4 linked regions of the Styela clava genome follow. The protein of the gene in region 3 interacts with the protein of the main gene of each other region in a biochemical or structural test. Links are inferred from orthologs where the notes say so. Each region holds a gene or a part of one and is shown on either strand. Other genes may lie near its edges. The genes, in order: ubiquitin-conjugating enzyme E2 Z-like, ubiquitin-conjugating enzyme E2 N-like, E3 ubiquitin-protein ligase parkin-like and Parkinson disease protein 7 homolog.

The links.
Region 1: the proteins of E3 ubiquitin-protein ligase parkin-like (region 3) and ubiquitin-conjugating enzyme E2 Z-like form a complex in vitro, tested with the Homo sapiens proteins (2 studies listed by BioGRID). The link is inferred for Styela clava from reciprocal best matches to the Homo sapiens genes PRKN and UBE2Z.
Region 2: the proteins of E3 ubiquitin-protein ligase parkin-like (region 3) and ubiquitin-conjugating enzyme E2 N-like form a complex in vitro, tested with the Homo sapiens proteins (6 studies listed by BioGRID). The link is inferred for Styela clava from reciprocal best matches to the Homo sapiens genes PRKN and UBE2N.
Region 4: the proteins of E3 ubiquitin-protein ligase parkin-like (region 3) and Parkinson disease protein 7 homolog form a complex in vitro, tested with the Homo sapiens proteins (2 studies listed by BioGRID, with this or other methods). The link is inferred for Styela clava from reciprocal best matches to the Homo sapiens genes PRKN and PARK7.

Annotation. Positions count from the first base shown.
Region 1 is NC_135255.1:6,259,378-6,266,848, forward strand, and holds the start of ubiquitin-conjugating enzyme E2 Z-like, read right to left. Parts: upstream 3,001-7,471; 5' UTR 2,948-3,000; coding exon 2,159-2,947; 3' UTR 1-2,158. Other genes in the region: protein SPATA45 homolog, read left to right, coding at 5,478-5,585, 5,850-5,964, 6,469-6,488. UniProt on the Homo sapiens protein: Catalyzes the covalent attachment of ubiquitin to other proteins. Specific substrate for UBA6, not charged with ubiquitin by UBE1. May be involved in apoptosis regulation.
Region 2 is NC_135258.1:13,557,096-13,564,080, reverse strand, and holds the start of ubiquitin-conjugating enzyme E2 N-like, read right to left. Parts: upstream 3,014-6,985; 5' UTR 2,839-3,013; coding exon 2,806-2,838; intron 2,559-2,805; coding exon 2,457-2,558; intron 1,326-2,456; coding exon 1,181-1,325; intron 605-1,180; coding exon 464-604; intron 1-463. UniProt on the Homo sapiens protein: The UBE2V1-UBE2N and UBE2V2-UBE2N heterodimers catalyze the synthesis of non-canonical 'Lys-63'-linked polyubiquitin chains. This type of polyubiquitination does not lead to protein degradation by the proteasome.
Region 3 is NC_135263.1:16,303,564-16,311,187, forward strand, and holds E3 ubiquitin-protein ligase parkin-like, read right to left. Parts: upstream 3,017-7,624; 5' UTR 2,614-3,016; coding exon 1,276-2,613; 3' UTR 517-1,275; coding exon of another isoform or gene 414-516; 3' UTR 413-413; downstream 1-412. Other genes in the region: ATP synthase mitochondrial F1 complex assembly factor 2-like, read right to left, coding at 414-516; 40-kDa huntingtin-associated protein-like, read left to right, coding at 7,110-7,168. UniProt on the Homo sapiens protein: Functions within a multiprotein E3 ubiquitin ligase complex, catalyzing the covalent attachment of ubiquitin moieties onto substrate proteins. Substrates include SYT11 and VDAC1.
Region 4 is NC_135257.1:17,241,647-17,248,087, forward strand, and holds Parkinson disease protein 7 homolog, read right to left. Parts: upstream 2,500-6,441; 5' UTR 2,386-2,499; coding exon 2,290-2,385; intron 1,988-2,289; coding exon 1,826-1,987; intron 1,563-1,825; coding exon 1,412-1,562; intron 1,147-1,411; coding exon 992-1,146; 3' UTR 504-991; downstream 1-503. Other genes in the region: peroxisomal membrane protein 11A-like, read right to left, coding at 1-41, 138-253, 341-396. UniProt on the Homo sapiens protein: Multifunctional protein with controversial molecular function which plays an important role in cell protection against oxidative stress and cell death acting as oxidative stress sensor and redox-sensitive chaperone and protease.

The sequences.
Region 1 (7,471 bases), on a different chromosome or scaffold from region 3:
CTAAATTTTATATATAAATTCTGAATTACTTATCTAAATTCAATTTGCTGATTCACATTATGCTCAAAGTTTATTTCCAAGCACTCTTGCCTATAAAAAAATGCGGCAATATTAATTCATATCATGAAATGATGATTTGTAATTTTTTTGTAACTGTGAATTATGTCAAAGAATTTTCCAGAAGACAGATATATTTGATATTCCGTATACATAATGTGAAGAAATTCCATGAAAAAGAAAAAACAATAAAAAATAACTAATAAATATATTAAGATAAGATATTCATTTCTTAATATTCTTGTTCATATAAAGATGGGATTTACATATTTATCACGGGGGAAAGGAAAGCCGAAAAGATGTCTTAATCATATGGTGAACCACGGCCTCACGTCCGGTTACCAGTCCAGGTCGGGTCTGGGATTAGTTAGCCAGTTATGTTTTTGGAAGCACGGACTTGATTATTAGATACAGCCTAACCAGTTTTTAGTGGAATATGGAATAATACATAATATGTGCCACTATTATTAACCATACAAATATTATTTCGTTTGTATAATTTGACAATATAGTAATTTCTGCATATTTATTTGAAACAATTGGGTAAGGATTAACAAATGTCAAAATACACGATACTCCATTATAGTCGATTTGAAAAAAAAATTGTGTCTTAGAATAATCATTCTAATTATTGTAGCTCTGCGAATTCAGAATATAAAAATACAACGTTTATTCATGATATGCACTTTATATGCTGGAGTTAAGAATATCTAAATCAGGAGCATGCAACTGTTTATCGCAATGGGCCGTGCTGGATTAACCATTAGACAAAATAAGCATGTGCTTAGGGCACCAACGAAAGAGGGCACTACTAAAAATTCCATTGCGGAATTTGCAATGGTGCCCCAGTGATCTATGAAATAATTTGAGTTGGTCTGACAACTCAGACCTCAATATTGACCCCAGGGCCAGGTCATGCCTTTTAAAGGCCCTGGCAATGGGTCAAACCCTAAAATGATGGCACACTGTGAAACAAACCATACCTTTTAATCAAAACATGACACCAATAAAGCAAATCACCTTATCGAATCCTTGAACAAACAAAATTTAATTCAAGTCTAACACAACACAAATACAAAAATGCTGACAGTGCCGTTACAATAAAAAATAATATTCAAAAGACTATACCAGGGCCCAAAGGCTGTATGTTGCATGCCTCTGATCTGATTAGCTAGTTGTTTCTTCCTTACTAGTTTACAAATTTCATTGATGTATTATTTCATAGCTAAATCAAAATTCATTCACATGGACTGACAGATAACATTGCTAAACAATAGTTGCGTTTTTTAATATTGTTTATATTTTTTTTGAATTCCTCAAATCTCACAATCAATCCCTAGTTAAAGATTAATAGTTAGATAATATTACAAATAAGCAAGAACTTAATATGCTGACAATGAAATAATATGGTAAAAAAAGTTTTCATCAAAAAGTTAGCAATCAGTTTTAAACAGAACAAAAAGAACATTAAGTATGGGTTGAGAAATAAAATCTGGTACATATGCGAGTTGGCCACATTGAGACAAACTACGGCATCTTGTAAGGCGGCCAGTCTGTAGTGACAATGCATTAGAACAGTGGTCCGCAAACTGCGGCTTGCGGGCCCGATACGGCATGCAATCCAAATTTTTGTGGCTCTCGAATGACTATACTTTTAATTGATGAGAAAACAAAAAAGTTTAGCAAATTTACACAAATTTATTTTAGCTGCGCATAGATATATTCCATAATAATGGCTTTTGGATGTTATTTTTATTTTTTGAAGTAATCAGCCGAACGTGTGTACCGATAGTTGTAATAAGCATAGAAATAGGAGTTAGAGGTTCGTCATACATTGAAGTTTAATGTAGCGAGAGTTTTAAAAATAAAACCTAAACTCAAAGGCGACTGAAATCATGTCAGTTTATGCACGGCATTCATATTGAAGATTGCAAAAGTAACAATAAACTAACATAAAAGATATATTATACTATATTAAGATATACTCATAAACAATACAAAAATAAACATTATTATATCATTGACATTGATTTGGAACTATTCCATCTATTAAGCTTAAAAGTACGGTGAATATAGAGTAAAAATTAATTGAATTTTGAAGTTAATGAGACGGACCTGGCTCATCAGTTTCCATTGGAACTACATATGGACTATTAGAAAGTGTTTGTTTTATTGACTCAAGTCTGGCAAGTAATTCCCCAAATCGGAAATGTCCTGTATTTTGATTAAATGGGTCTTGCATTGTTCTCCCATCCATTTTCATCAAATTCTTACAAGTGCTAACATAATAATCATAATATTCCATAAAAGATGACTGCACAACTTTTTTAACTTCAGTGTCCAATGAATTGTTAATCGCCATATCACAAACAGCAACTCTTATTGTTTCATGTCTAATGCAATCATTGTATCGCATCGAGTCACCAGCTACTCGTTCACTTGCAAATCCCGGTTCATTATGATACGGTGACTCGTTCATCACAGATTGTATTGAAATAAGGACAGATGATAAAGATTGGGCGGGACTCCAACCAGGCCCAGACCAAGTTCCAAGTATGCTCAAACACACTTTGCCATTTTTGTAGAAATTTGGGTTGAAACGTACCATTCCAAGACCAGTTGTTAGCAATTTTACTCTGGGGGGCTTTAATGGGTAATTAGGAGGACAGCGTATGTAAAATAAGAAAAATCCCCCTTCGTAAGGAGTGTCAAAAGGTCCAGTTACTATGGCCTGTAATCGTGTTATATCATCTGGATTAGGTAAGATGACAACGCCTGGTGGAGGCGCTCTGTATATTTCCAAAATATCTTTCTTCAGTCGGACTATGGTGGTGTGAGATGGAGCTTCATTTCCCCAGTCATGAGATTGCAGAGGATCCCAGTATGACATAATACACAAAAAATATCTACTATACTGAATAACACCTGAAAAATATAGTGAAAAACAAGAGCTGCTGAGTCAAAGTTCGGATACAGTTTGGTGTGTTTTTATTAATTTTGGAGTCAAAGTCAGAGACATAATTTTAAACTCCTCAAAGTCAAATTTCAGACAGATTCCAAGTACATTAAAACATCATAAATAACAGTCGGTGCAAACCCCTCTTTTACTTGACGGTCTGAGCCTCTGTATCGACTCAAACGGCAAATTTGCACAGTTCAAAAAAACTAAAAAATCTAAATCTAAAAAAAAATCTAAAAACTTCACCATTAGATTTCTCGGAAAAAATAATCCAATTTACCAAAGAAAAAAATTATATCGTAGTATTTGAGAGTTTTTAGCAAAAAAAAACGCAATTTGGTCAAGTGACGGCAGACGCACGTCACTATTGATTTAAATTATTAAAAAGCCAATCTTGGTGGATCTTTCAAATCTGCCGTCATGACAGACGTCCTCGTAGAGTGTTCGTTTTATTGAACCAAATGTTGGGACATTTTGGAATCGGAGAACTAATGAAAATACTGCCCTACTGAAAATAGGACTGTCCTAACTTAAAATGGAATTACACTGTCCCAACTCAAAACGAAATTACTAACACCAAATGGCCAAACTAGGAAGTTGTTCTGTCAGATCATGTATAGCGGACAATGGACAATTCAAATAGCCTATGTGTGGATCAAAATATTTGCTATGTTCTGAAATAGTTAGATAGTAATAATACAATATGAACTACAGACTGACAGACAGACAGAGGACCAAAAGAACTACTTCGTCTTTAAGCGACAATTACATATAAACGACTAGTCTAAACAATTGCAAAAGTTAAAATATATGATAGCCTATTTCAGTATTCAGGTATTTGTTCCTGTGTTGATTCAATTCAGCGATTGCAATGATTACAGGACTAAATTACTGTACCGTACCGTAGTTATTTTTTGTTTCAAATCATATAATTATCTGGCTGTGCTTACATGTTCCACTTACAGGTTGACGTTTGTTCACTAATTTATGAACGTATCTGAGTATACCCTGCCACAACCACCAGTCAGTATGCTATACGTACAGAGTGTAAGCAATAACTTAATATGCTGACAATAAGGTAATATAGTACTGTAGTAAAAAAAGTGCTAACAAGTTTTATCAAAGAGTTAACAATCAGTTTTAAACACAACAAAAAGAACAGCAAGTATGGGATAAGAAAGAAAATCTGGTACCTATGCGAGTTCGCCATATTGCAGTATTGAGACAAACTACAGCATCATCAACTACGGCTTCATTTGTATATTAATTCTGGTGATCTCTCATAAATCCTAATTAGATACCGACAAGTGGTTCAAATTTTCATCAACCAAAGACGGAAGAAATTGTCAGAAGTTTATTACATTCAATTATCTATTTCATATTTGCTGTTTTTGTTAAATCGCCTTCAAAGTACTGCCCGATTGTGGATCGCGTTTTTCTATGATTGTTTTATTTTTTGATGGGCGGGCACGTACGCTTTTTAAATTTATTTTGAGTTATGCATGTTTCCCAGGTTTCTCTGCATTTTGTTTTATCCGTTTACTTTTTGTATTGTTCATGTTAGAGAACCAAAATGAATGATTGACAGAGGCATGAATAGGGCCAAGTTCGATAATACCGGTACTCAGCCAATTGATCAAGCGTGGAATTTGTTTGAAACTTTATTTACAGAATTATCCTCTAAATTCTTATAGATGTATACCGGCCAAATGTATACCGGTATACATATTTCTGCAGTATTGCTGGTATTGGGTGTTAATGTTACGGTACTGCAGCACTGCATTACGTATGGTACGGTACCGTACTGCAGTACCACTGTGTTAGATAACTCACATGACTGCATGGTCGCGGATTTTTTTACCATGCCTGAGTATTTTTTTTTTTTCTTTTATGATTCCACAATGTGGATTATGCAATAAATAAAAATCATATTTTAATAAATGAATAACAATAATCAGGTTTACATAAATAACAAATGCCTGAGTATTGTTAGGGGTATCTTTATGATATCATGGGCTGGTGATCTGACGAGAGGTCATGGTTCGCCTTATGACAGTATGATTAAACCATCTTATCACTTTCCTCTCCCCCGATATAAATATGCAGCCAAAAAATCCTATCCTATCACACAAAAAATTATTATTTAAGCATTACTGTATTAACACAACGATGAAAATAGTCAAGAAAATACCGCACTTGATATCTTACCGCGTATACCTGTATACCGACATCAGCCCCGCGTATCGACGCATCCTTCTATTTCGTTGTCTCCATTTTATTTTACCTCATACACGTGGGGTATGCTCAAAATAGTTCCACCTCGAGATGGCGCATCAGGGTGCTGCCTAGCAACAGACGCTTGTACGAAGGGGTACTCGGTACGCGTCGTGTAGGGTCGTAAAGTTTTATAAGCCTGGTCAATTTGATTTACATTTAAAATAGAACACACTTCAACTTCAAGATGAATCAAGAAATGCTATATCAATTGGGAAATTCCCGTGAATCGTGGTGTGCAGTGGAACTTAACAAATCACAAGACTGGTGTAGATCTGAGAGAAGACATTCAAAAGTAAGGAAGGATGCCCTAATATCGATACTGAAGTCCTATTTGCAAAGCAAAGCTTCAACGAAAAAGATAATTTTTTATTTGTCATTGGCTAGCAATCAGTATGTGGTGACGGGACTTCAACGTACCCCAAACTTTATTTAGGCATGTCAGACTGAGTTGAAAGTCATTATCAGTATAAAGTACTATATAACTTAAATGTTTGTAATATTTTGTTGTGTGTTGAACACCAAATGCCAGATAATATAATATTTTAACCAATTGCAGGAAAATTTTGTCAGCACCGTCTTCAATCCGACAGTAAACACCGATTCAGAACCAAGATGTCAGTGGAAAATTGATGCTCCTACCCATAGAGAAAAACGCCATTTCTCCTTCGCCAGTAAGTTAGAGCCTCGACTTATACTTTGCTCATTAAATTAGAATATAGTAAAGATGACTGCATGCAATAGGGTTTTCACGGAATTACTCAAAAAATATTGATGATTCAATTTGAATCTAAATTTTGGGTGTAACTCCTAATAAATGTTCTATTCCAATTTAATGGCTATGCGTTAAAATAAGTCAACAGTTGTCGCCTGTAATCCTCGTGTGTCTCGATTATATTTGAAAATTACACTTTTTGTTCGAATATATTCAATACAAAACATATTAGCAAAACATTTAGTTTCTTTAATGTAGCTACAGTTTTATTTTATCTATTCTATGTATGAAAAATGATAAATAGTATATATATTCAATTTAAATATAAAAAAAATACGTTGTAGACCAAATTAAGAACAATCTTTAAATTGAAAAAATGGCGCTAAATAGCGCGACTCAATTAGCGCTACAGACATAATTTATGACTCTTTTCAAATAAAATAATTCATTTATCTTTTTGTAGATGCTAATCAGCTGAAGTGAAGATTCCCATTGCATGCGTATATTAGCTGTCGTATACATCGACTCGAATCATTTCTATAGTTTTTGCTGTTATTTACCTATTGGTGTTTGAGAATAATTTGCCATATCTTGCTATAATGATTATAGTTTAGCTTTTAGTTCGCCATCTATAAATTGTTGTATATTAGTTTACCTAAATGTGTTGCTTCGATAGCCTATTTATTTTCGTGCCATATTTTAAATTATAATTTTATACTGCTAATATGCTCTGTGCATTTCACTAATAGAGAATATTAAGTTAAGTGTTTCTGTTGATATGATTGCTCTCTGTAAAACGAGCATTGATTTTATAGCAGAAATCAAAAGAGTTTGCCAATTAGAAATAAACTCTTTCCCGACACCTATACGCAGCACTATTGGGCCCATGGCCAGTGGCGTGCCTAGAGTAAAGATGCTAAGTATGACTACTTACACGTATTCGATTCTTATCCGATTCCTAAATTTTTGATTCCGATTCTCGATTCCTCGACATATCTTGCCGAGAAAACATACCCACTTAACCGCTTGAACCCGGCAAGCCGGTTTACCGGCTTGTTTGAGTACGCTCTGTGCCCCGGCAAGCCGGTTTACCGGCTTGTTTTTCGTGTCGGAAGGAATCAACTTTATGATCTCGTATCTCAAGAACCACAATGAGTATTTAAATAAATTTTAGATTGCATGAAAGCTTGTTATTGGGACTAATTATATTGTAAATATCGGTGCTCTAATATACGATGTTTCAGTAAAATTAGCAATTTGAAAGTGCGTATGAAATTATTGTATGATAACAAATATTTAATATAAAGAATTTCGACTTTTTGCCTAAATAGCCACATATTCAATCGGCAATATATGTGGAGAATTTGAATAGCTTTTTATATACGTATCCAAAACGATTTTACGATGAGCCATTCAAATTTTATGGCCAAATATATTAGATTATCTGTAGATTTAACAGTGACGCT
Region 2 (6,985 bases), on a different chromosome or scaffold from region 3:
CTATGGCCCATCAACTAACTCATGTACCGTATATGGAAAAACTACAAAGAATGCTTTCCGTGAATATAAACATTTCCACTTTAATAATTGAAAAACAGCATCATCATTCATTGCTACTACAATCAAAGTTTAACTGAACTATCAATAACTTTTAATGGATTTGTGGCCCACTTAAAAATGTTTCTTGGAAGGTATCTGTGGCCCAAAAGTGAAAAATGACATGTATATACAAAATAAAGGGTACCCCTGTAGTATGTGTACCGGGTTAGGCTATAATTTTATTTCGAATTTCCCTATTTTTAGTTCAATTACGAGTTCGGAGACTATATACCCCCTGCCCATAGGCTTCAGTCTCTTTACACAAGTAGGCAAACAAAATTTTTACCTCCATATTGGTACACATACTTATGGAGCACCAAATAAATTATATATCTGCACAAGAATAACTAAAAAAAACACAAACCTTTTTTAATTGCCGAATTTTCATCTAGTTTCCAAGCCTCTGCAACATCATTAGCTAGAGGATCATCTGGATTAGGTGCACTTAATAAAGCTTGTATTGAAAGCAAAACCGTTCTTATCTGTAGTGCTGGGCTCCACTTATCTAAAAAATGGATTCAAAATGTTAATTTGGACATTCTGTTTTATTTTTCATAATATTTCAACTTTGATTCAAGATTGTAACATCCTGACTTGCCAGGCATGGATATCTTAAATTAACAGAAAAATTTACATTGTCAGTGGCATTGCAGTGTAATTTCATTGGGGACTAAACTTGTAGGATTTATCCTGGGGGAGAAGAAAGCCGATAAGACAGCTTAATCATATGGCGAACCACAAAGCCTCTCGCCCCGGTTACCAGTCCATGTCGAGTATGGGATTAGTTGGCCATTTATTTTTATTTTTTTAGAAGCATGGACTTATAGGTAGAGGAAGCCGTATATGACTAGCGGTTACGCGAACCACCAGACGGCGGCGAGGAGTCCAGCAATCCTCTCGCACATAACTCTCCCTGCCTGGAATTTGAACCTGCGAACCCATGCAGGATAATCAGAGGTGCGTTGGTGTGAGTATTCCTGACGCTTAGCATGATGTGCCACACCGTCGAGCCAAGCTCCTATGTCAAGCATAAAAATAATTCAGGGTTAATTCAAAGCTTAAGAATCAAAAAAGACATCACCTTTTAAAATATCTAGACATATTCTTCCAAGTTTATCAATATTTGGATGATAAATTTTTGTCATAAAACGAACTTTTGGTGGTGCCATAGGATAGTCCTCAGGTAAAAATAATTCTAATTTGAATATACCCCCTTCATATGGTGACTACAAATAAAAAGAATAAATGATTAATTGTAAATGATACGACTAAAGTTACATATTATTTTTATAGAGAAAATTATGGTGAGCAGAAATCGTCGAATTAGGCATAACAATACTTTTTCTACACTATGTTCTTGTTTTCCTCAACTTTTAAAACTTGTTCCATCCAGAAAAGTTTTTGATCATTAAATTCATTTAGTAGTGAGCCGTGATCAATTCATAATTAGACTTCTGGTCAAGGATTTCCACAACCTAATATTTTGCTTATCATATTTTTGTTTAAAACTTCCATTATATTTTAATATATCACAGATATAAGGGTTCAACCAATCATATTCGTATCTAACGGTAATAATATTTTGGAATAACTAATTGATATGCCACAGTGAACCCAGTGGTGGGATTCAGCCGGTTCGCACAGTTTCTATAGAACCGTCTTACAGAATTTTATGAGATCAAAGAACCGGTTAGCATTACTGATTACTGTCAATGGGTTTTTGCATCTTATCTGACACACCGATTTTCTGGATCAAGTAGCTCATGTTTTTTTTCAAAATGTGAAATGATCAAGTTCGCACACGTAACAGTTATGCATTGTGTTAACTTTTATAATTGTAGTAATTTTCCTTTTGTGATTGTTTGTCTGAAAATTGAATTGTTGCATCATAGGTAAAAGTCATGAGACGACTGCTGCTTTTTAGTGTGGCTGTTAGCAGTGATGGGATTGAGCCGGTTATATACAGCAAATCAGCAATATCGACAATCCTCAACATCATTGAAAATTTTGAAATGGTAATTAGGAAGTAATTTAAAATAATCAGTTTACTTGCTAAAAAATTATGACTTTTTGTAACAGAACCGGCTGAAAAATATGACTTTTGTGATGGAACCGGCTGACAAAAATTTGAATCCCACTACCGAGTGTACCCCAGTGCTAAAGTGAATCTAGGTATACAAGGCGAATAACTACTTATACATCATTTCTTTAATACTATCGCGAGTAATAGCTTTTCGTGCCACTGTTTCATCAGATTGTTAGTTAGAAAACTCTATGCTAATTAACCATTATCCAAATAAATTGCTGAAGATCAAGTAGTTGAAAAGATTGATATAACCTAATTATTTACAACTTACATCTTGTGGACCTACGACTGTTACTTTAAAATAGCGCGCATTCGATTCAACAGGAATGGCACATATGCCAGGTGGAGAATCTGACACTAATCTTTGTGTTTCCTGAAAAATAACAAGGCAATCTAATTAGAAAGCATTATTTAGACTTGTCAACCATGATTACATTGTTCATAAATGGATAAATAATACTTTAAGATCCATAGAATATATTAAAGACAATATACTATACAGTATATTTATGTCAAAAACATTCTTTCATGCATAATCTTTTTTTATTTCATTCAGGATTTTTCTAAACAACTGTGAAGAAGATTTGATTGAAACTGAAAGAAGATGTTGAATAGTCTACCTTTATAATTCTTCTGGGGATACCGGCAGCCATGTATTATTGTTGATATGTGCCCAGGTGTCCAATATACTCAATGTTCGATGACCAATAGCGAGTATTCAGGTATTTGAGAAAGTCTTTAAGTTTAAACAACCACACAAATTGACAAAGATCTAATTTACATGAGCTAGATAGAGTTTAATACCCTGAAAGTTGAATTTAAAATTTAGCTATTACCGGTACTGTACTACGAATTATCACAGCCATCACAATTTGTAAAAACGAAACAAAGGCCTCGATATCACAGTACCGTACTCTGGTACTGACTATCATGTTGTGTATCATGTTTCAGTCTATCTAGCTACCGTACTGGTACACCAGCTGTTCAGCTATAGGTACCGGTACCGTATTACAGTAATTTGTATAAGTGGCTCAAAATGCAAAACCAACACTGGTATATTAAAAAACCTAAGTTATTGAGTAAAGGAAGTCCAAGTTCGGAACTCTGCAGCTATCATACTAGAATGTTCATCCTGTTTCCACCGTTGTTTCGCGAGACCCTCGCCCTGGCTGTCGGAGTCGATTGCAAATTTTCCCCGATTCCCGACTCCGGATTAAAGAAATTTTGCTCTGACTTCGATTTCCATGAGAAAAATGAAATTGAGTTTTAATTTAAGAAAATTTGGTAACAAAAACCGCATGCAGGTCATTGAAAATCTGAAATTATAACTACGACGAATACGAAATTTCCACTCTAGCATCGAAGGTGTTTGAAAACACGACGTTCGCTCCGACTACGTGGAATACATCTCAAACTCCAGCTTCACAACCCTGATTCTCAAGTTATTTCTCCACCTTCGTATATATACGTTATACATCATACGTAGGCTTACCATACGTCCCGGTTTAGCCGGGACAGTCCCGGTTTTGACAAGCTTTCCCGGCGTCCCGTCCGGTAGACTTAAATGTCCCGGTTATGTAGCGTGGCAGTCAAAAACAATTTTTATAATATTATCACAAGTTATTTTTTTGACGGAAGCATCCAATTTATCTCTTATTCACTAGTTAACAGAGGGAGAGAAAACTGCTGTTTTGTGTCATAGGCAGTGGCGTAGCAAGACTCTCGTGGAAATGACCCTAAAAACTCTCGGACATAAGCTAAAACGCTTTTTTTATTTCGTCAAAAAGCATAGCATGTTGTTATTAAAAGGCAATGGTAACCTAATATTTGCCGTTTATCTTGGTGACTTTAATTTTTTCATACGTGCTCCCTCTTCTGCGTTTCTGTGCGCCACTGAGAGGTTTTGCTCTCGACATCATTCTGACAGCCTTCGTAATTTTGCCGGTGCGAACAAACCACAAGACGCGAAAAATCGACGACTCCCTGGCATTGTTACGTAACAAAACGATTTGAGCAGAACTAACATAAACGTTATAAGATGTGCATTAACAGATTACCTGGTTTTGCAATGCAGCTTTTGGTTTTGCGGCTTATATTTCTAAATTCTAACCGCTTGGGCCCCTTTGCGCTGTTTGCCCTCCCGCGACCGCGGGGGTGGATGCTACGCCACTGGTCATAGGTATTATATTTTGCGATAATTTGACACACAATGTTAACTGACCTGTCGATAAATTATCAAAGTGCCAAATGGACGCGTAGAAAGACGAGGGACAATAATGTTTTTTTCAAACTCAAAAATAAAACTGAAACGAGCTTTTACGAGACCGGCAAAGGATTTGCGGCTCATTTACCTTAAAACTGAATTCAACATCATTCCGTGTCTCTCTTATGTCGATTATTGAAATGTTCAAATAATTGCTGCTTTTATAAATACGGTAATGTTTGGCGACTGCGCGTACGAATTAATTTATTTAGATAATTCAATGCCCGGAATCTACTTGCAAAGATATGATAGAAGTTTCAGATATTACTTAGTCTCAGAATCGAACCAAAGTTAGTCCGATCCGCACTGTCCCGGTTTTTTGTTCCAGATATATGGTAAGCCTAATCATACGGCAATTTGTTTTTATAAACTCAGCTTTGAAATATTGGGTAAATATTTCTCTGAGATAGTCCATATTGATACCCTAGTTGAAGTTCGGCGTATCATGAACCGAGATTGCGAAAAATAACATGGATTTTAAAGTTATGCCACAGAAGGGAAAAAAAGATGATGACCTTGGTTAAGGTGTCACTTCTCGCCAGTTAACCATTCCGTCACAAAAAGGAAGTCAAAGAGTTGGTAGTAAATTGTATAACTCCGGCTGGGTGAAATATACCTTCAAGGAATTATCCAATTCGTAGCATTTTTGTATTATTGACTACAGAGTGTACATATTGATCGTTTTGATAAATGTTATTGTCGTTATTAGCTCTTTGATTGGGCACATAAAAACTGACTACTTGGGTTTTTATATCTGTATAAAGTTGAAGGAAGATTGATCAATACGTGATTAAACTGGACTTGGTGGGACAAACTCAAATCAATGAAATGGAAAACACATATTCACCCACCGAAGTCAATTCACGTGCTTTTGTTTCGACGCCAAACTAAAAATGCCTGGTAAAGCATTTTAGTGATGAAATGATAAGGTTGCAACGTGGTTTTGTATTGCGGGGTACAGAATTGCAGAAATACACACGCCGTCTGGAAACAATGGTTTTAAATTAAAATGCGGGTGGAGGCTCTTATCGTAGGCATAGGTATAAGAAAATATGTCGGTGTAGACTACTACAAGAGACACAGTTAAATGCTCAAAAATACCAGGAAACAGATGGATCAGAAACAGATGGATACCCTCCGACCTCTAAAACAGAATCAGATTTTCCATAGGTTGTCGAAAACGTCCAGCAAAAACAATAATCTGATAACTGAGACTTGTGATCTAATGAACACATTTTGTCTCCTTGAAAACAATTACTGCTCTTTTCCAAGAAAACTATTCATTCATTCCCTGTGAACATTTATCGATATTTTCATGGTTTTCATTACACACCCAGCTTAAGTAATTAGTCTCCACAACTTTTTTACGTTTGTGAAAGAAATTTTCTTTCCCCGCTGTGTGTTTAGTATTTGTTTCGATGCTTTCGTTAAGTTTGATGGCCGTCATACTTGCTTCCCTGCGTATTCCCTTACTAGTTCTTTCAACTTTTTGACAATTCATTTTCTATATTATTCACCAGCGAATTAATTACACATAACTTGTATTTCTTTTTTTGATACACCCATTTGCCATTTTGTTATAAAAATGTACATTGTTTTGTTTTTTCACAAATAATTCACGGCTCGTTATATCGTGCATTTCCTCCACCATCACGTCCATGCATCTGGAAAAAATACCTGACTAACTAACCCCATACTCGATATAAACTGGTAACCAAACGAGAGGCCGTGGTTCACCATATGTTCAAGCTGTCTTATCGGCTTTCCTCACCCCCGGAATAAAACAAACTTTCATTGTGCAAATGACGCTATTCGACAGAATCCGGATATGACTTTTTACGATTTAATTGCAAAAATGCGCGATATAAATATCTGGGCACGTTCGGGCATAATCAGAGCGGAAGTTAAAGAAAAGGTATGATTAGGTAAATACGAGAAAAACTGACTCATCTATGGAAATCGTCCAACGAGCGAGAATACTTGTTTGTTGAATCGCTATAGCGACGACGTTCAAAAATATACAGACAAAAGGTTTGTAAGGATTGGATACGATATTAATTCCCTGGATAGCAGAAGCCATATTTTCAAATTAGAAGCTAGAGTTAAAAGATTTATCGAACAGATTCGAATTTTCTTTCAATTGAGAAGGCGAATATGAAAGTAAAATTAACGTAACACAGTGGTTATCATGCTCTTCATCACTATAGAAATCTTGGGTACGGATGACTCAGACACTGTTCAATGGTAATGCTTTTTAATACGACTTTATTTCACTGCTTATTTGCCTTGCAATTGTCACATTTAATTTATTTCAATGGTTAAACGTGGAAAATATGTCTTTTACGACTTAGTCGCGCATGCTCGGAATACAATCGTGCTTGATAGAAGTTTTAATAACAAACGGACAGCGGAAGTTGAATGCATGGCAAGATGAAGTGAAAAGAGAACTGAACCATATCCAGTAGTAAAGCAAATTAAAAAATGTGATTTTAATCAGATTCTGAAATTTTGATTCTGACCAGATTTTAATCAGATTC
Region 3 (7,624 bases):
TATAAAAATATATAGATCAAAATGAGTCAGAGAAATCACATTCATGAATTTGAATAGATTCCCCATTGATATATAGAGAACTAGGTGAGCTGTCTTTATTAACAGGATAAACTTTTTATGGTTGGTGCTGGTGAGAGCAATGAACTAATTTTGTAACTCGAGCCAAGTTCAGAACTTGGATTTGCTCAGTTTTCATTGTTCAACAGTGTTATGATGAGATTTATTTTAAGTTTATTCATTATGCACTTGCTTTGTATATGTGAAATAAAATAATTACCACATAAAATAAAGTCTGAGATAAATTTCAACATGTGAAGTGAAGTATCCTCCATTACAGAGCATCAAGAACTACTACATACACCAAGCTGCTTTTATGTGACTGTATTGCTGCAAACAAAAAAACCTTAACTCACCAGAAACACTAGTGTGTCGCCGCAGAATGCTTAAAACATTACAGTGGACTGTCGTAGAACACGTAAATGGCGCGGTTAACAAATTCCGGAACAACGCAGCCATTACCTGACTATTGAAGTATTTGCATGATTTGACAAAATAGCAATATATTACGAACAAAGAAAGAACACAATTCAAATCACTAAATTAGCAACATTCATATATATTCATTAATAGGATAGCAAAGGCACATTTAAATTTCTAGTTAAAACCAGAAATTAGTTTATATAATACAAATGCCACAGGCAGTAGTGAAACTTATTATTAAACAAATACCAAACGCTTGGCCATTTCACAGTGATGAGATGAATATGAAAATATTGGAATAAAATAGGATTCTATATCTTGGCAGGGGGGATGACGAGCTTGGAATAAAAAATAGATTCCCAATTCTTAAATCACATTATTACCAAAACGGTCTGAATTTTTTGCAAACTGTTTTAAATTAAGTCATCAAATCATATGCTATATCTTTATTTCTGAATTCAAACTCATTGAAAGGACATTGCCTTGTATGTGTTCTTTCTTAAAAATGACCCTATTTGTAACATTTTCTATTAATGAGATTATGATTTTAGACTGCAATTAGAGCAGTAGCTAAGTTGATTTTGTATCTCTGTCCTTCTCTTCACAATATCGGATTTTTCAATTCATGAATACAGAACAGAAAAGCTATGAAGCTTTTACAGAACTCAATTCATGAATACAGAACAGAAAAGCTATGACAAATGTTTTTCTTTTTAATAATATCCAACAGTGCGATAGCAAAACTGTTTCTAATGCCCAGCATAGTAAGACAATATATTCTCAACTTATAGAAAATCAGTTAAACCAGTGATCTGCTTGGCAATTATAATTCCATCGTGTAAGGCAATTCCAACACCATTCATACAAACACATTTTACAAGTCATATGCATACAACCACCACTTCTTTCTGTTGGAACTTTGCAATTAGGACAGTTTTTCGAAATTTCCCTGATGGTTTTTATGCTTTCGAAATAGTCTCTTACCATAACACTACTTCCAGCCAACAGAGGAAACTGGGATTCACAGTCTGAGGTTCCATGATATGATTCACGACAATTTGAACAAAACATATGCCCACAATTTGAGCAGGTAATTTTTGTGTTGTTCTCAAAGATGGCAGGTATATCTGGAAACAAGCCAGTTCCACATTTAGGATTGGGGCAAATCATTCCCTTCATTTTACGAATTAAGCATTCTTCCGCAGAAAAAGCTTGATACATTTGGTATTCATCAGCCCCAAGTATGTGAAAAAGGTGTGTATCACACATAAATGAACCTTCACACCCCATCGGGCAGGTAACAGAATACCCTATATTTTCACAAACTATCATTTGTCTATCACGAAGTTTTGTTCGAGAATATTCTTCAAAACATGGCAAACACATAACATGTTCAGGGCTACAAGGAAACGTCACGACCGGATTACATGAATCAAGGCAGGTAAGACAGAGAACATCTTGAATGTTGCTGATAACATTTGGTAAGGATACAGCAGTTTCAGAAGGTGCCGGACTCCGACAAACCGAGCATTTGAAGTAGAATTCTGCATCACAAACATCACCTCCACATTCCTCAGAATAGCATTGGCCAAATATTTTTCCCGCCTGAAGGACATCACTCCATTGCTCAGGCTCACATTGTAGAATAATACTGTCCTCTTTACAATTGGCACACTGAACACGCAGCTTCCCAGGTGTAACTTTAAAGCAAGTATGCTTGCAATAAACATAAAATTGAGGATGTTTTGAACATAATTTTTCTTCATTCAGGTAATTCTGTAACTTGATGAAAGGAAAATGAGTATGTTGACGATGTGGCCATATTCCTGTCAAATATGAATTTCGACCCACATAATATTGTTGTCTTGATATCAATTCTTCATCTTTTATACGAGGGTAAGAGACAACATGCAGAGTCGTCTGAGAACTAAGGGTATATTCATTCAGTGTTTTATCATTTTGCATTGCCTTTCCACAGAAAATAATTTCACACTCTTCGAAAGGGATATTAGAGTCTTTACAAAGCATAGATTTGACATCACACACTTTTATATTCAAAGGCAATTTCATTAGTCTAGAAGTCTTGTCTTTGTGCAACATGAACCTAATATCCAATGCATTGGTAGTGCACATTGCACTGTTTCGGTAAGGTAGTCTCGAAATTTCGGATAAATCTTAAGCCTAATAATACAGTTCTGCAGTTATTAGGTAACTAGATATTTCATATTTGTAAGATACAGAAACAATAAATGACATAATTAAAATATCAATGAAGGATAAAACACTGTAAAAATTGGTCATGTGATCACATTTAAAATTTCATAGCTAAGATCGGTACCGTACTGATATATGGTTCCTAATTATCGAAACCGACCCTAAATTAACGAAACAGGGTAGAATATCCACCTAACCAACCCCTCTCTTTCTTATTTGGTTGAGGTGTTTGCATTTCACTCCAACCAAATTCCAACAATAAATCATATTTTAATTAATATTAATCTAGACTATTCTTCACTGTTCAGGTTCAGTCCCATTTATTACTGTATTAATATGGCTGTATGGTATAATTTGGTAAACTTTACAAAATAAATTATTTCCCGAGCATTGATTTCCTTCTTTATTTTCGTTAAAATTCCAATCCAATGGTTGGGTCTCATGTAGTTTCGTACCTAATATACTTCTAGTGGGCGTAGCATGACAATTTTTTCATGTATCAATCCTAACCCCCACCTGACTACACCATCCAAAAATTACATCAACACGAAGTCACAGTGACGTAATAGAGCCCTTCAAACTATACGAACTGCCATCCGGCATCCAAGACGTGCAAACGAGCACCCGAAATCAAACAGTTATTTCTCTCGTTTTCCCGTCGCAACGATTCCAATAGGAGAGAGATCGATACTGTCAGTCAGTTCTTTATCGTCGGCGCCAATGCCATTTCGGGTGATCGTACGTATATTTGGCAAGCTCAATCCTAACCCCCACCTGACCACACCATCCAAAAATTACATCACTACGGCGCCACAGTGCTGCAGTGACGTAATAGAGCCCTTCAAACTATGCAAACTGTCATCCAAGACGCGCAGACGAGAACCCGAAATCGAAAAGCCATTTCTCTCGTTTTCTCGTCGCAACGATCCCGATAGGAGAGAGATCGCTGACGTTAGTCAGTTCTTTATCGTCGGCGCCGATGCCATTTCGGGCGATCGTACGAGAATTTGGCAAGCTATGATATGACGTGTTGTGACGCAATTTTTGAATGGCGTAGTCAGGTGAAGGTTAGGATTGGCATGTCGAAAAATTGTTATGCTACGCCTACTAGAAGTACCGTACCGTACATTAGGTACGAAACTACACGAGACCCTGTGAGCTTTGGTACCGGTACGGTACGTTACCGCCTACCGGTATAGCCAAATATCTTTATTATATAAATGTACAGTGTCAACTTAACTTTACTTGGTGTACTGTACCTGGCTTTCTTTATCTTTGCGCACCATGCAGCACTTCTTATACCGCGTGGGTGGCTAGGTCACTTTTAAAATCCCCCAAACTACTTTCAGTTGACGTGGGGAATCCCCCAGCCGTTTATAGTCACTTTGAGTGGACCTTTGGATCGTTCTCATATTTTTGGTAATTGGACACGTTAGTGGACGTAACGATCGTTTCAATATTATGTTGTTGTTCTTGTTGGACACGTTAGTGGACATAACGATCGTTTGAATATTATATTGTTGTTCTCGTTTTTCGTCATTATCACTATTATATATTCGCTTTTTTCTTCGAATAGAGGGAGAGAGCTCCATTATTTGTCAACCAGAAAAAACATAAATACATTGATAATAATAATAAATATAAAGCACTACGAATAACGTTTCTTCGGTATGGGCTGGAGGGAGCGATACGACCATACGGTCATCAGAGTCAGCTCCCAACATGTTCGCACCACCTAAAATAAAAAGTATCAAAAAACCAGTACCTTCTAAAATTAATTTGAAAAAATCCATTAGTCTCTAAAGTGAACAATAGTTCACCATGTTCCCTTATAAGCAATCTTTGAAACATCTGCTCGTAGATTGTTGTTGTGTTTCAGGCTGCTTAACAATGATCAAATGAAATCAATATGAAAAAAAATCACAAATATTCTGACAAATCTTCCATGTTAAATTCGAAGTGATCCTATGAAAAAACAAGAGAGCTACGCCCAAATATATGGACACGTCTGTTCGCAGTACAGTACGGTTTACCGTACCGTCAGATCACAGTCTGCAAATATATTCACACCAAGCGAAGCAGTACAGTAGGACTTCCAACTTTCGCTAAGGCGGTACGGTAACGTCCCCGCAGAAAAGAAAACCAACATTATTGCAATACTGTACGGTACAGTACCGTCCGCAGAACGTTCGGTGACGTCATAGCAAACAAAAACAAATCTCACAGAGCTAAAAGAAATATTTGAAATAACTAAAAGTAATAGCCTTCTGGAGAAAAATTTCATCTTTAACCAGTAAAAAATTCGAAGCAATCGGTCCAGTAATGGAAGAGAAAAGCGGTTTTTTAGATTTTCCACTAGATGTCCAAAAAGTGTCAAAGAACAACAACAACAACAAGACCAACATAATATTGAAACGATCGTTATGTCCACTACGTGTCCAACAACTCAAATTACCGTATCCTTGTCTGAACCTAATGTTTATGAATGAAAAAAAATCCATTATCACACCCTTGATGACTAATATATTTTGATATCTACCTCAGTACCACACTATCGATATGGGAATGAAGCAGTCAGTGATTCGACTTCACCTAGGTCCCGAATAGGCTTGGAGTAAAACCAAATGGTTCTGGTGAAACTAATGGTGTGCATCTGTGCTTTGATTTTTTTTTTCTTGTGAAACTTCAATAAATGTTTGGTTATTTAAATCACCATATATATATATATATGGAGCACCACTTTTTTAATGGGGTATTTCACACATTCCCTTTGAATAAGACTCTGAACAAGCAGGTACCCATATCCACTATGTAATTTGAAAAGACTGGATTGAATACAGCTATTGTATAAGAACGGTTCCATCTTCTGATAAAGAGCTTCACAACTTCCCCGCAGCAAAGCAGCAAAAAAGTTTTTGTCACTTGGTTGTGCTGTGACATCATGCAAACTTTAAGAATGGAACGTATAATTTCATTGCTGATATATTTGGTAATAAAATCAATTCACGTTTCATAGAATATTGAAGTACTTTTCTGCTATTAGGAAAAGCGCATTGAGAAGAACGCGTTATTGCATTAGGAATGGTGTATTATTAACAATGAAAGCGCAATGGGTACAATGCAACGTCGCATTAGGAATGGCGCATTGGATGGTACAATATTAACGACTCCTCCATCCATTTTTATAAACCATTTTCGTTCTATATGTCTCGCCTTTTTTTTTCTGAGAAATCTGAACAAGGCTCTAAACAAGCAGCAGCTGGTATGTAGACAACTATTATGCCTTTTGTGGAGGTATCTTAGGACGTGGAAAACTTGAAATTGGATAGGCACAGCTATCAGACAAGAATATTCTCATTTCTCATTCTCATGATCGTCGTGACTGTGACAACAAGCCTTTCGCATTATAGATAGATAGTTTATTTCGGAAACTCCATAACAAACATAAATTGAAAATGGAGAATTCTGGAGGGCAAGCAAAACCCATAAAAAAGTTTAAAACATGAGAAGTATCTCAAGTGCCTGCCCACCAGGGCAGTATCGTATTTTCTGACATTGTTCAATCAGTTGACCAAACATGATCGAGCGACGCAATTGTAATACATTGTCAGTTGTAAACATCAATTTGATGTTGCACTAACCCGTAAAAATGAGAGTCCACTCAAGGATTTATCAACAACTCGAGCGCAGGGCGGGTGTATGTGAATGAAATATCATGGTGCACCAACCCTAATCAGATTTGACGTTGAAACGTTTTAGAAAAACAGTGCCAAGAAAACGATTTCTGTTGTTATGGATTGACCCAGGAATTCTTGTACTTATACCTGAATTGGTGAGATGCAGTGTCTTGCTATTGTTTAACACGGCGATATCAACATTCCTTTGCCTGCTTTTCCAAAACACTCGCGAAATAGGCATCCAAAATTTTGCAATAGCAAAATCTGGGAGAATTTTTTTGGGGTCAAGGGTCAGGGAAACAACTTTTCTCTCAACTTCGATGTTTATGCAGAAATCAGAATAGATACATCACAAGTGAAAAAGAATATTTTTATTTGTACCATACCGGTATCACACCATTTCAGTAATGCTGTTTTGTGACAGTTTAGAATTACTAGGCCTATATTACTCAGCTCGGCTTCCTCCACCACCAAGTCCATGCTTCCGAAAACAAACAATACAGTAAATCTAATCCCATACCCGACTTGGAATGATAACCGGACGAGAGGCCGTGGTTCGCCATATGGATAAGCCGTCTTATCGGCTTTCCTCTCCCCCGGGATAAATATGTAAATACTATCCTATCCTTTTGTATCTTAACATATATAGACTATCTGTATATTATATACCGTAATTTCAAAGCTTACATTGTGCAAGGATACCGTATCGTAATAAGTCATTGCATTGAAGTGTGAAAAATGGGAGAGGAGGTGGATTTTTTCAATTTTCACAGAGCCGCAGCAAGCAAATTAAAGAAGTAGGATTTTCACCCACTTTATAATTTAGATATAAAAGTAGGCCCCAATATGGTATTACCGTACTTTTGCCAGCAGGTATGACTGAAATGTAAACAAAATAACAATACCATATTCAGATATTGGTTGTCATTTGTCAATCTACTTTTATTTCTAAATTATAACAGCATATTGTACTAATATTACTAAGTCATTTGATGATATGCATTTTTTATAGGCCTACTGATATAATAAATATTATATTAACTGGCAAAATATTGGTTGTCATTTGTCAATCTACTTTTATTTCTAAATTATAACAGCATATTGTACTAATATTACTAAGTCATTTGATGATATGCATTTTTATACTAATATAATAAATATTATATTAACTGGCAAAATCAGCTATCAATTACTTTTTCATTATAAAATGCTTGTCCGAGAAATTCTGACTTTGGCAGACAAAACATTTGTGT
Region 4 (6,441 bases), on a different chromosome or scaffold from region 3:
GGCTGCTCTGAGACTGTCCACACTTTTCCCAAATCTAAATACTGAAAAAAATGTATATTTTTTTTTTATTCAGTAAATTGAGCTTTGGTAATGTGAGATCTGTGTCTGTTGCCAGAATTATTAAAATATAAACTCACATTTTCTGGACGTGCTCATTAATTTTTCCAGCTCTATGAGCATGTTGACTGCATTTTCCTTATTGCCATTTCTCAGTAGATACCATACAAGAAATTTGCTGCCATATTGCGTGACTCTATAAAACATGTTGTATTCAATTACAAGAAATCCCAATTTCTGCACATTTACCTAAAAACAGTCTTGAGAAAAAACAATCAATTACCTATATAATTTGTCTCGACCAGCCGTCTTGTTGCAAAAAGCTAGGAAGTCATCCATTTGAACTTGACCTGATTTATTTTAAAGCTATAGCTCTGGAAATGAAAAAAAGCATTTCTGTCAAAACATCCCAGAATCACATATGTAAAAGGAGTGAATTATGAGGAATACATACTATACAGAAATATATAGTATAAAATACCAGTGGACAGAGGTCGACAATGCTAGGCGCAAAACTGATTTTACTTTTCACTTTACAAGAAAACTCTGCTTGATAAAGTTATTTCACAGGGTGTTTTCACTTTGTGCATGAAATGTTTCAACATAATGGGATTTGGAATCTACCAATCAAAATTACACTATAAAGACCAATGATATGAATGATAAACAAGGGGGCCATGAGTGTTTAAAGTCGGGACGGGCAAGGGGCCACGAGCCATAGCATGTTGGGAATCACTGGTCAAGGCAACATGAAAATATAAACCCAATAAGCGCAGTTAATTGCCATGCAGTCAATGATCTTCCGTATTTTGGGCAATTGAATTGCGTAACTTAGAGACAACTATCAAAAATGAATAAATCAAGCTCAAACAGGGCAAAGATGATGTTTGATGTTATCTAACAGTGAATGATATAAATATAGTCGGTGGGCAAGTTATGGCAAAACCATCGGTCCGGAAATCTTGTCTCGGACTTCCTTTCCCTTCAACATTTCAACTAGCTCTAAAGCAAATTCAAATGATGTTCCTGGACCACGACTTGTGATCAGCTTGTTGTCCTTGACAACCCTTGCCTCAGAATAGATGTACCCTGAAATACAGTTAGAAACTATGTTAGTTTAAAAGCTATGTAACAGATGAACTAATATACAAAAATATGATTCCTCACAAATCTAGCACGCACTCTCTCAGTATAGAATATTGATCTCTGAGCAAAGTCAAGGGCGGGCAAGCACTAAAAAGCCATAAACTACTGGGACTGTAAATTATAGCGTAGAAGTGCGCGTTAACAAAATCCAATTGACACAAGAGTGGATATTGCGACGCAGATTATAAGTATTTTTATGAAGACGAACCTTCTAATTTGTCCTTTAAGGATGGATGAGATGTGATATTGCTCCCTGGTTTTATGTTATGAGATTTGAGAGCTATAGGAGCAGCACATATTGCGCCGATTAAGTTTGTATGTTGAATCTGCATCTCCAGGAGCTTCTTTACGCCATCTGACTGTACAGAAACAATTTTATGAGTCAAATGATGGTTAAAACATCTTGGGTGATCGTGGTATACTGTAGCATCTTTACCTCAAGACCCAAGAATTATTGACATATCTACTAAATTTAGTCAGCGAACAATATTTTCTAATAAATATCTATAGTAGGTAAGTCAAATATATAAGATTTTACAATATTGTCTCGATATTTTTGTATTTAAGCGATTGCCCTACATAGAATATTAAAAATTCAAAACAATTTTAAGCAACCAGCTACCTCTGCGAGTGTGGTCGCACCCTTTAAACCACCAGGCATTACAACTGCATCATACGGGGCAGCATCTATGGCTGTTTGGAGATCAACATCTGGAATTATGCAAACCCCTCGACTACACATAATTTTATCTGATGCGTCAACGCCAGCAACAGTCACTTCAATCTGCATATAAAAAATTAAGAGTATAGATGTGTATGGAATAATTATTTGTCAATACCGCTTATTGGTATTTATTTTAATGTCATTGATGAATATTATTTGGTCACAAAAAACTTTTTGTTTGTTACATCAGTAAGTTCTGTCGTTATAAATTATTTCAATTTTGCTTTAATACCGGTATAGTTTATAAAAAAGCTTAAAACTTGTTGTATATCATAATTCACTTGAATCCTAGCGTTTCTAAACTAGTGAAATAGAGCCAGGTTGTATAAAAAAAAGGAAAACAATTCTGAATTTTCACAAACCTCTGCTCGACGCATCACATCAATGGAAATAACGGCCTCCATCTCTTCTGCGCCATTCGCAAGCAAGACCAGTGCCCTTTTCAAAGAACCACTCATTATAAATTCTTTTTGTCGTTTACTCAATAAGCGAATAATCGTGAAAATAATAACCCGTAGAGCAAGAAAAAGAGCCCTCAACTAGTGCAATTGCATTGAATGAATCCAAACGAAGTCAATGCAGCAATGTTTGAGCTCCACAGCAGGAGTCGAATTTTACACTACCCGGGACTCTGTACTCATATTTGGGTTAGGACAGGAATTTTATTCGCCCAGTAGGAGGGGTAGAAAATACGATAAAATTACTTAATCATATGGTGAGCCATGGTTTTTTGTACTACAGTCCATGTAAAGTATGTAATTAGGCAGCTCATTAGTAGAATAAGATTATCTTTTTACATCGCATGGACTTGACTTCTAAATATTATTCCGAAGTCAGGAGCTCAAGTCGAACTTTTATATTACCGGTATGCCGATTCTGTATTCCAGACTTCAATCAATCAATTTTATTTCGGTCGCTCTGGTATAAAACAAAACAATAACAAACGAACAAACACAGAGGACCTGGAGGACGGGCATAACTTGAAGAAAAGTTAAAAACGTGAAAATACGCGCCCGTCCACCAAAAACAGTCAAATAACACAATAAAACAAAAATACACGATACAGAATCGGGCAATAACTTCAAATGAATAAATTTGTGAATAACAGTGACAACAATGAGTTTATTTTGAAGAGGGGTCATACAGATAAGTAAACATCGTTTTTATATGTAACAAGAAAATGAAGTGATTGTAGGAATAACACTGCAAATGGTAAAGGAAAATTGTGATTAGAATAAACAGGTCGTTTGAATGATGACTTTGTTCGAACATTAAATGACTGATGAAAATTGTTGAAAGAGGTGCTTTTGGGTGTTGATCAACTAAAAAAATAGTGCTGTGATGGTGTGGTGTTTATAATAAACTATATTAAAATCTTAGGCGAACTGGAAAGCTATTCAGTGCCTTCCAGTGGATCAATCAATCATTTATTCGTCGTCACAAAAACATCAAATGCAAAAAAAATTGGTACAATAAATAAATATAATAATAATGATATTTGTGCGACAGGAGTCGCGAGGGACCATATTAGGTCTTCAAGCAGCGACACCTAAAGCGCTGTTACTGGTTCAGTGTAAAAAAAATAACTACATTTGCTACAAACATTGACTATGCAATAGTCGTTGTGATGAACATATTTTGAATCATTGAAAAAATTCGCAGCAAACGCAACTTTACTAAAATCATGTAATAGAGAAAAAAAAAGAAAAACAACTCAACTATAAATTCATAAAAAAGGCATATTTGAATAAATGTATATAAGTTACATAAAAGACAAACGACAAGCGAGGGGAAAATGGTTAGACCAAAGACAAAATTGTAAGAGATTAATTGAATAGGAGTTGGTAAGCTCTAATAAATCATAAAACGTTGATATGTATATATATATACAATACGCTCCACAGTAAGTGGGCATAAAATTTACGAAAGAATGGTAGGCATATGCTTGCTCAATAAATTAAAATATAACGAATTTTGGCATTTTAGTGTAGAGGTTGCACCAAGTTTGGTAAAGTTAAAGTACCGGGTACTTTAGAAATAGACTCCTTACACCTATAGTTCCTCCGGCTTTTTGGGCAGCCATGGCGACGGTCTACAAATGCGACTACTGGGCTATGGACAGAAGATGGCGAATCATACTGAATACTCCAATCAATGGCTGATGGAAGAGAGATAATAACTAATATATTTACTTTTTAGATATAATTTGAAACCGTAATAGCCTAAAGATTTAATGGTACTTGGTAAGGCATTCCACAGTTTCACACCCGTGTATTTTATGGATTTCTGTGTCCTGCTTGATGAATATCTTGGGACATAATATGAACTTGACAAAGCTGATCTAGTAGAGTATGAATGGATATTACTCTGCATTCTGAAAATTCCCGCGAATGCCATGGGAAGCTTGTTATCGAAGTACTGGTGCATGAGTTTCAGTATCTCAAATTCATGGATATGACCAAGCTTAATAATTCGACACCTGTGGTACAAAGGATCTAGTCTAGATCGGAAAGGTGCACTACATATGGCTCTAATTGCTTTGTTTTGCAAAACTTCTAATCTGGGGAGTAGAGTCGATGACGCACTACCCCAAGTTATAATGCCATACTGCAGATACGACTGGAAAAGAGAAAAATAAACCAATCGGAGAGCTGGCATGGTGAGGAATTTTCTTAGTTTAAATAATAAACCTGTTGCACTTGACAACTTTCCAGCAATGTAATTAATGTGTGATGTCCATTTCAATTGGTCATCAATGTGGATACCTAGGTATTTGTATGAGTTGACATTTTCAAGTGGAACCTTGTCAATATTAATTTGAAGCCGAATTTTATTTTTTTCATTTATCCTGGGACTAATTAATAAGCATTTTGATTTTTCAATATTTATGGTGAGTTTATTTATGGTCATCCAGGTTGCAATTTTTTGCATTTCAGAATTCATCCGCAATTCCAAGTCGTTTGGCGAAGCTGAACTTCCAAACAAACCGGTATCGTCAGCGAAGAGTTTGACAAGTAATTTAGTGGCATGAGGAAGGTCATTGACAAATAGAATAAACATTATCGGTCCAATGATCGATCCTTGTGGAATTCCGCATTGTACACTAGAGAGTTTGGAGCAATTCGAACCAAATTTAACACATTGCTGACGTGAACTCAAATAGCTCCTGAAAAAAGTCAACGCGTGACCGCGAATACCATCCTTGGATCGTTGTTTAATGTTAAAGAGTCATCTGAACATAGAAGAATGAAGCACCTGAACTGGGGCCACGGTTTGAATATAATGTGAGATGGAGCCAATATGACTTCTGAATATAATTCGAAGAGTCAAGTGAAAATTATAAGTTATTGTTGACGATCACAAACTATTATTAAGTATCGAAAATTTCCTCCTCCCAATCGGCAAATCATAAAGAAAGTTGCCACTTATCCAATATGACAAAAGTGGCTTTAGAGATAACAAAATCGTATAAATTGATTCAGTAGTTTGCATATATGATGGCTCTTGAATTTTATTTACGTTTGAACACTATCTCTAGTAATATATTCAATTATACTGTAGTATTTGTCAAAATCATGCGGAACTCACCGACTATGACGGTCGTCCCGTAAATAAAAATCTTTTTAATTAGATGTTAGTAGGCTCGGCGGTGTGGCGCATCGTGCTACGCTTTAGGAATACTCTCGCCACAGCATCTCTGCTTAACCTTCGTGAGATCGCAGGTTTGAATCCCATGCGGGGATGATGTGCGAGAGATTGCTGAACTCCTCGCCGCCGTAGAGTGGTTCACGTAACCGCTGGTCGATTACGGCTCCCTCCACCATCAAGTCCAAGCTTCCGGAAACAAGTAACTGTCTAACCAGTATATATTTACGGTCTAACCGTAGTAGTCCGTAGTCGAAATAAAATCTTATGTTATCTTATCTAGTATATATTTACGGTCAATCAATCAATCAATTTTATTTCGGTCGCTCTGGTATAAAAAAAAACAATAACAAACGAACAAAGACAAAACACAGAGGACCTGGAGGACGGGCATAACTTAAGAAAAGTTAAAAACGTGAAAATACGCGCCCGTCCACCAAAAACAGTCAAATAACACAATAAAACAAAAATACATGATATAGAATCGGGCAATAACTTCAAATGAATAAATTTGTGAATAACAGTGACAACAATGAGTTTATTTTAAAGAGGGGTCATACAGATAAGTAAACATCGTTTTTATGTGTAACAAGAAAATGAAGTGATTGTAGGAATAACACTGCAAATGGTAAAGGAAAATTGTGATTAGAATAAACAGGTCGTTTGAATGATGACTTTATTCGAACATTAAATTACTGATAAAAATTGTTGAAAGAGGTGCTTTTGGGTGTTGATCAACTAAAAAAATAGTGCTGTGATGGTGTGGTGTTTATAATAAACTATGTTAAAATCTTAGGCGAACTGGAAAGCTATTCAGTGCTTTCCAGTGGATCCTTGTTTAATGTTAAAGAGTCATCTGAACATAGAAG